Nothobranchius furzeri: one gene and its partner. The protein of the gene in region 1 interacts with the protein of each later gene in a pairwise test. Links are inferred from orthologs where the notes say so. Each region holds a gene or a part of one and is shown in the gene's direction. Other genes may lie near its edges.

Region 1 (3,500 bases):
AGCTTATAGAGCTCAGGAATAAAGTTAACAACCTCCTTGACAGCCTGGAGCCCCCCTTAGAGCCTGGTATGACTTCTACGGCACCAGAAAGTGGTAAGCACCTGTTCATGCTTGGTATCTGAACATATGAAGATATTCCTTATTTCTTCTAAAATTGCAGTCATTCCATCTGCACCTGTGGGTACAGTTGTTTTAATAAAAGCATTCATGTGTCCAGCAAGAGGGTGTGGTTTTATTATTATTCTTTTGTGCTTCTGTTTTGCTCTTATTCTTACTAAAATGAAAATTTTGACCTCCTTAAATCATGTTTTTTTTATATTTGACAGCCAAGTGAGACAGTTTATATTTGTTGGTCACTGATGGAACAATTAAGTACCATTTTTATAGAATATTTGCCTGAATCAAAGCACTGATTTTGCAACAGGCCAGTTCTGTCTGGTTTGCTTGCGGTCTAACCTGCCCACAGCTGTGCATGACATCAGGAAGGAGCTCTTTTCAGATTGCACTGATATTCAAAGCTTTATACTTGAGATACTTGAATAAAATACAGTAAAATCAAAGCAAAGTGATTGATGCAAGCGTGTATTTCCCCCTTTTATAAGTGAATGTTTACTTCAACTTGATGCATTTTTAGAGTCGGTAGATGGACGCGATGGTAAAGTTGCAGCTCCAGACTCCACAGTTAAACAGGCTCCTCCAGTCAGCGCAGCCAGCATGTCGGCCTTTGACCCATTAAAGAACCAGGACGAGGTCAACAAGAATGTAATTTCTTCTTTTGGTCTAAGTGAGGACCAAGCTTCAGGTATTCCACATTGTGTAAATGCAGATAAGTCGGAGCCTTTCATGTAAAGCATGATTTTCCTGATGTGTCTGCTTTTTGAGTAGCTGTCCCAGCAGTTGCAGCTGACGAGCGCTCAGGAACACCTGACAGCATCGCTTCCTCCTCATCTGCAGCACCTCAGCCAGGAGTGCCGCCTCAGCCACAGGCTGCTTATGCTGGAGTGCAGCAGGGACCCCCAGCTGGAATGGATGGTGAGAAGCATTTTACTCAAATTTGTGGTCAAATTATGAAAGATGGGAAAATAAGTTGGTAATATTCATCAGTATTTTATTTCTATAGCATCTTCCACTACCTTTGTAGTAGCCCACGGTGCTGTACACTATCACAATAAAAAAATAAAGTAAAAGTATAGTAAAAATATGTAAATAAAGGTTATAAGGCACAAAGTAACAAAAAAGCCTCTCGGAGAAGCAAAAAATATATTTACATTGTTCTTTTTTAGAGACTATTTTTAAAGTTTCATGCAGTTATTTACTATTTGTCATAATTATTAGACCCAAGTTTATTTCCCTAACTGACTTTATTTGGTGCTGATTTGTGAAGTAAAACAATATTTGGATTTGAACAAACCAAATGGAGAGAAATTGAAACGTTTCGGCGCAGGTCATTCTTTACACATTTCTACATGCACTGAGGGCTTGTTTCCTTTTCGAGGACTTTAGATGAAATTCTGTGTCTGAAGAAATAGTTGAATGAGTGATGACCCCAGCTAATCTAAACTGTGTAATCTTTGACAGGAAATTAATCTCAGGCAACCTTATCGTGGTGTTTGGACAAAGCTAAAGCCTTGATAATGAAAAATGAACAAAACACTGGCTGCCTGTTGGAAAAACATTTTTAAGTGCACCACAGAAGAAAATAGTCCTGCATGCCAATCACATGATTCCATTCTGGGGTTTTTGTTTGTTTGTTTTCAAAATTAAAGCTCATTTTTTTAATGTTTGGAGAAAAGACAGGTGCAACATCTAAGGCCAACGTGTTTGTTATTGTTGGCGTTGTTACACGCTTATGCTGGGTTGTTTTTTCTTCTGTTGAACAGAGTCACACAAGACACATTAAAGGTTGATGGTCTGATTCACAGAACTTAACCAGCTAACTTAGTTTAGTCATTTCAAATAAAAGCTAACTGTAACCTCTCAGGAAAGCAGCCGGTTTATTTGTTTCTGTTCAGTCTCTCGTCTAAGTTTAGACTGTAAATTACTTTGCCATAAGAGGCCAGCAAAGATTCATTCTTTCGCTTCTTAAATTAGCTGTGGTTGGAGATATGGACTTATCTTGTTGTTAAACATTTCCAAGCCCAATGTGGTAAGTTTGTCTCATCTGGTCCATGATATTTCTCTTCTTGGTTCCAAGGCTGCTGATGGTTGGTGCTTAAAGACAAACTCAGCTCTGCACAGTCTCCTCTTTAACCTTCTGTTTTAGATGCACTGTTAGTGTAACGTCCTCCAAGCCAGTTTAGACAGCTCTAATAAAGGTCCTATGTCATCCAAAATTCTTTTTCTAGAGCTTTTGACCTTGTTGTTTACTTTAAAAAAAAAACAAAGCAGCTTTTTGGCTTAGCACGTGCTTTTTCCTATCTCAGCTGCTTCTTCCCTTCAGATCTGGTAAACTCTGCTAAGCTATTGCAAAAGCCTGGATGGAACAATGTTGTTATTAAATTCCACTTCTCCCCATTTACATAGTCTCGATTCTGTATCCTTCCTCCCCTGGACTGTAAACACTAACGCCCAGCGTCTCTGTGTAGCTCATGGGGAGATTATACTCCACAGTTGTGATTAAGGGATTTCTTTTTTATTTAGTCTGCATTTTAAATATTACAAAAATGGATTTTTGTCCAAGAGGTACAGGATTCCTGTCTTCCTGCAGAAATGGTTGGATTTTAGTTTCAGGAGCTCTCAATAACTGAGCCAGAGTGTGACCACGATTTCACAGACGGCTTGTTAATCCACAGCCAGTAGCAGAGGGGTCGGCGTGAATCTGCCGTCTCCAGGTCTGCAGCTGTAAACTATTGTGGAACTCACACAAGTAGAGGCAGGGTTTGATCTAATCCAAGCATCTTCTTTTCTGGTTGAAGTAATGGTTCTCAAAATAACTTATAGTTCATTAAAAAGACATCTTAATGGTGCCAGCGGTAGTATTTTATCATATATTCTGCCTACTGTTGCCCTGGAAGGTGTAAATTTGTGATGATGATACAAGTCCTTTAAGATTTCAAGATGTGTGGCATTTTCAGTGTGGTCGGAAGCATACCTTCAACACAAGCTTAGGTTTCTTAATACCAGAAGAACGCTGCAGACAGGATTTATAAGCAGATGGTAAAGATAAGACCTGATGGATGAGTGAGCCGTAGCAATGATTCACATCGCTGCAGGAAAGAAAACAAAATGCATGTGGCTTCTTTTTCAGACGGGCAATTGTGTTTGGTGGGAAATGCTTGTTTTGGTGGAGGCATGCAAAGATGTCAGAGGATTAAAGTGAACTGCTTCTCTTTCACTTCTAGTGAAAATAGTGTTTATACACTGGTTTTTCCTGATGCTGAACCCTTGACTACTCCCATCCAGGCCCTAAGATTTCTAACCGCCATCTTTCCATCCCTCCTACATAACAGTCTTCATGATGGACTGCAGATGATTAGAACAAGAGAGAAAACCGATTTCAC
Region 2 (4,069 bases), about 20 Mb from region 1:
AAGGGGACATCTGATCGGATATTCTTCTCTCTTACTCGGATCATGTAAAAGTTCGTCTCAAAGCTGCACTTAATGATCACCAGGGAACACAAAAGGATGTTTAGCTGTAAATGGCTGTAATTATCAAACATGCCCTTCTCATTTTGCACAGCCAGACCTCGTTGGCACATTCACCCGGTAATTAGAAAAGGCTGTAGATGAGTGACAAGTAATGGAGCTGCCCACATTACTCAGATGAGGGCGGTGATGGTGGGAAACACTCATGGCATGTTGCATTTTCTGTTAAAAAGAAACTCAAACATGCAGGTTTATGAAAATATAACAAAAATAGTTTATTTTACCTGTGAACTGTTTGTTGTGCAGCGGCTTTGTTGTGGCCTAAGGGAGGAGAAGGGAAAGGTGGGGGTGTGTAAATGACAGCAATCACTGACAAATTATAGCTCCATCAGACAAACATCCAAAGCAGACACAAGCTTTTAAAATCACCATTAACACCTCATGTTAATTGTTATTCCGAAGTGGGTGTTTGCATCAAAGTTAAAACTTTTGTGACATGTGAATAAAGTGAGGCAGAAAAGCAAAAACAAGATAAAGCTGTAAGGAGACAAATGCATTTTCGCAGCACTGCAAGTTGTCAAGTGGGTCGTTCTCAGCAGGATGCTCTGCATTAAATGCTTGAGTTTTGCACTGAACAACTGTTTTAATGTTCAACATAAATTAGTGATTTATCAGTATATATGAATATTTGGATATCTTTTGTGGCTCCAAACATTAATTGGTGAAATTAGATGGTACAAATCGTCATTTCAGCCACAAACATTTCAAACTTCATGGAAACAGAAACTATCATATTTGCAGTGAAATGTCGCCACTGTGTGGCAGGAAATTATACTGCAATAATGTTCATTTTTGCCCACGTTTTAACATTTGCTCTTCCTTTTACTTCTAAATATTTATTGCGCAGTTCATTTAATTTTTATTAAATTAATCTTACCGTGTTCCACTGAGACTGCATGGAGATAAAGCTTTGTACGTTAAAAATCAATCACAAAGTAAATTATTACCCAGAAAACTCGGCTGTTTTCTACTAAAACATTAAAAAAACAACTTTTAGACTAATTATTTAAAAAAATGCTTCAAAACAAGTATCACTTTGTGTCATTTTGTGTGGAAATATTCTAAAAAATGTTTAAATAAACTCGATTTGCTGAACGGAAATATTTGGCGCCCTCCAGCGGACAGAAAGTGCAGTACATTTCCGCTTTTGCGTTTAGCTTAGTTAGCTTAGCTTAGTTCGCCAAACTAACTTCAATACATTTTTAAACATAAAAAATATTGCATTTATAGTTATATCGCATTTGCATTGGGATTTTATATTATTTAACTTCTTCAGTGGAAAAAAAATACTTCCAACGTTTTATTTTGCCAACTGACGTCAGGGGAAGAGCCGTAACCTTGGAAGCAACCGTCGAAGTAGAACCGCTAAAGCGCTCGGTCCTGTTTCATCTCAGTTCCTGCAGTCTGCAGAGATTATTCATCTTCAGTCATAAACTACTCAGATTAACGCCACAATGCAGAGGGAAGACCAAGGCACGGTGAGTCCCGTCATTTATTTGCTAACAGGAGGCAAAGAAACTATCGAGCAAGTTGACAAATGGTTACGTTTGGATTTCGTCTCGTCAATAACAATTTTATAATTCAAGTTTAATTATACATTATTTTTTTAGACTTCTATTTTGTTTTTTCGATCGTAAAAAAGCATAAAATGTAAAAGTTTGACCCGTTTGCGGTGCTAAGATGCTAACAAATAAGCTACAATTTCAGGTTCAGACACGTTTTACCAACAGTTTCCGTTTTTTTTTTTTACTCTAAAATATGAACTCGGTTGTTTTGTGTTAAGAGAGACTGACGAACTAAGATGAAACAGGAGTTTTGTTGGCGGTTAGCTGCAGCTGACTGATGTTTACGCTTCCTGACCGCCGGTGACCTTGAAAAGACCCTTTTATGCTGGTTGTCTTTTGAAGAGTTAATAATGATTGTTTTCTTTCGTCTTTCTGATTTTTCCAAACCGTTGCAGCTTAAACCCCTCTTACTTCTTTTTGCAGCCGCTGTCCTCCCACCTCAGCAGAGGCACCTCCTTTCTCCCGGATGTCTTACTCCCAGCAGACCCTGCCAACGCCCCCAGCTGTCTCACCCACACCCCTGGCACCATCATTCCTAACGGGATTTTCGTCGGCCGGATCGGTGATGAGGTGAGGTTTTTCCGTCTCCTATACAGAAACAAGTGGTTTTAAACAGTAACGCCGTAAAAAATGCAGATATTTGTGCTTCAAGGTTGATGAAAGCGACCTGCGACGGGTCTTCTCGCAGTACGGGGAAGTGAAGGAGGTGAAGATCGTGTCACATCGGTCAGGAATATCAAAAGGGTGTGTGTTTGTGGTGTTTCTGACAGAATTCCAGTCATCCGCTTGTTTCCTGAGCGCTCTCCTCTCTGAACAGGTACGGGTTTGTTACGTTTGAGACAGCTGAAGACGCCATGAGAGTCCTGAGCCTTGTGAGTGGTCGGCTCTGCTGCAGACGATTGGGTTTGTGGTGATTTATCCAAACTTACTGGACTTGTTTCTTACAGAGGAGTGGGATCCGTTGCAGAGACAGGATCCTCCGCATCGCCCGTGCTATAAAAAGGCCGCAGGGCTCAGGAAGACGTGAGTCTGGAACAACCGAAGCGAACGAGCCGCTGGGTCAGACGGACTCTGTAACTGTTGGCTTTGTCTGCAGCCAGGAGAACCCACATGACCCCGCTTGGACCCGCCGTGCCTCAGGTATCCTGTGGGACGTTCGTCATGTCCACCTCCACAGGTTTCCCCTACACCTACAACAATGGGATGGCGTACTTCCACTGTGCCAACGTGAGCCCAGATGTGCAGTTCTGGCCCGTGAGTACGAAACCACCTTCACTAGGATGCGTCCGAAGCAGCTAACCACGTAAGGAAACACAGATTTGCTTTGGTTTGTAGCCGGCTCCTAACCTGATGCTGCCTCCGTCCCATCAGCACGTTCACCAGCAGCAGTACCACCACTTCCAGGTCCGTTCACAACCAGCGCTGCTTTCACTGATTCGCAGTCGTCCGCGTCCCCGTGCACCTAAAACCTTCTTTCTGCTTCCCTGCAGAATTTCCCAAATCCGTATCCGTGGAATACCGTGGAGGTGCCTGTGCCCCCTGGCGCAGTGATGTACCCTCAGCCGTCCGAGTATCTGTACCAGCCCGCTGATGGACCCCTCTTCCTGCCCTTTGGGCCTGTGTGGGAGGACGCTCCAGCAGAGGTCCAGAGTCTTCTAAAGACATGGCGGTCAGATATAAACATCTGGTTTGTTTCACCTGGACTTTGTTGTTCTCTCGTCTCTAGGTGGTGGACACAGCGGGGCCTCATGGTTACTCCAGAAGGACGCCAGATGTTCAGCGAGGCGATCCAGGAATGGTAAAGGAACATTCCTGAGCTGTAAGCAGCACCTGAAAGGTCTCACGTCTCATTTGTTTACCTTTTGTCTCCATAGCAACAGGTGTTTCCTTCTGCCATCGTCCCCCGGCACTAACGAAGCGTCTGAGTCCACGCAGCCACCTGATGTCACCACGTCTCACTCCTCCCTGCTCCTGAAGAGGCACGCGTCACCCTCAGCAGTCCACCTGTTCCACGCCTCCATCACTAAACCCGCTGACAGCCTGATGTGGGGGGGGGCGCCTCAAACAAAAGGATGCTACAGGTGCCTTAAATTCACAACCCCTCAAACATCAGTCGGATTAACAGAGATTAGAATAATCTCAGCGCCTTCGGCTGCAGGAAACAAGATCATTTCCAGGTGACTGTTGGTTTTAAAGTTATCGTTTGAGGCAGGAAGTGCTTCCTGTCAGATTTAATCACATCTTTTATGCTCGGTGGTTGCGGGGCTTCCCACCCAGTTAATCTGGGATTTTAAAGATGATAATCTAGAGAAACGTTTCAGATTTTGTCTTTTATCCGTCTCTGAAACACAAACACGACTGTTTTAAATCCTCTGTGGACAAACGGC

What was found.
Region 2: the proteins of tfg (region 1) and protein boule-like interact in binary tests that used the Homo sapiens proteins (3 or more experiments, as listed by UniProt). The two-hybrid records come from large-scale screens. The link is inferred for Nothobranchius furzeri from reciprocal best matches to the Homo sapiens genes TFG and BOLL.

What each region holds. Positions count from the first base shown.
Region 1 is NC_091754.1:27,499,524-27,503,023, forward strand, and holds part of tfg (protein TFG), read left to right. Parts: coding exon 1-93; intron 94-634; coding exon 635-802; intron 803-885; coding exon 886-1,032; intron 1,033-3,500. UniProt on the Homo sapiens protein: Plays a role in the normal dynamic function of the endoplasmic reticulum (ER) and its associated microtubules. Required for secretory cargo traffic from the endoplasmic reticulum to the Golgi apparatus.
Region 2 is NC_091754.1:47,836,584-47,840,652, forward strand, and holds the start of protein boule-like, read left to right. Parts: upstream 1-1,269; 5' UTR 1,270-1,571; coding exon 1,572-1,595; intron 1,596-1,908; exon of another isoform or gene 1,909-2,004; coding exon of another isoform or gene 2,005-2,010; intron 2,011-2,105; coding exon 2,106-2,252; intron 2,253-2,334; coding exon 2,335-2,426; intron 2,427-2,499; coding exon 2,500-2,554; intron 2,555-2,629; coding exon 2,630-2,705; intron 2,706-2,778; coding exon 2,779-2,936; intron 2,937-3,017; coding exon 3,018-3,086; intron 3,087-3,172; coding exon 3,173-3,325; intron 3,326-3,408; coding exon 3,409-3,480; intron 3,481-3,556; coding exon 3,557-3,595; 3' UTR 3,596-4,069. UniProt on the Homo sapiens protein: Probable RNA-binding protein, which may be required during spermatogenesis. May act by binding to the 3'-UTR of mRNAs and regulating their translation.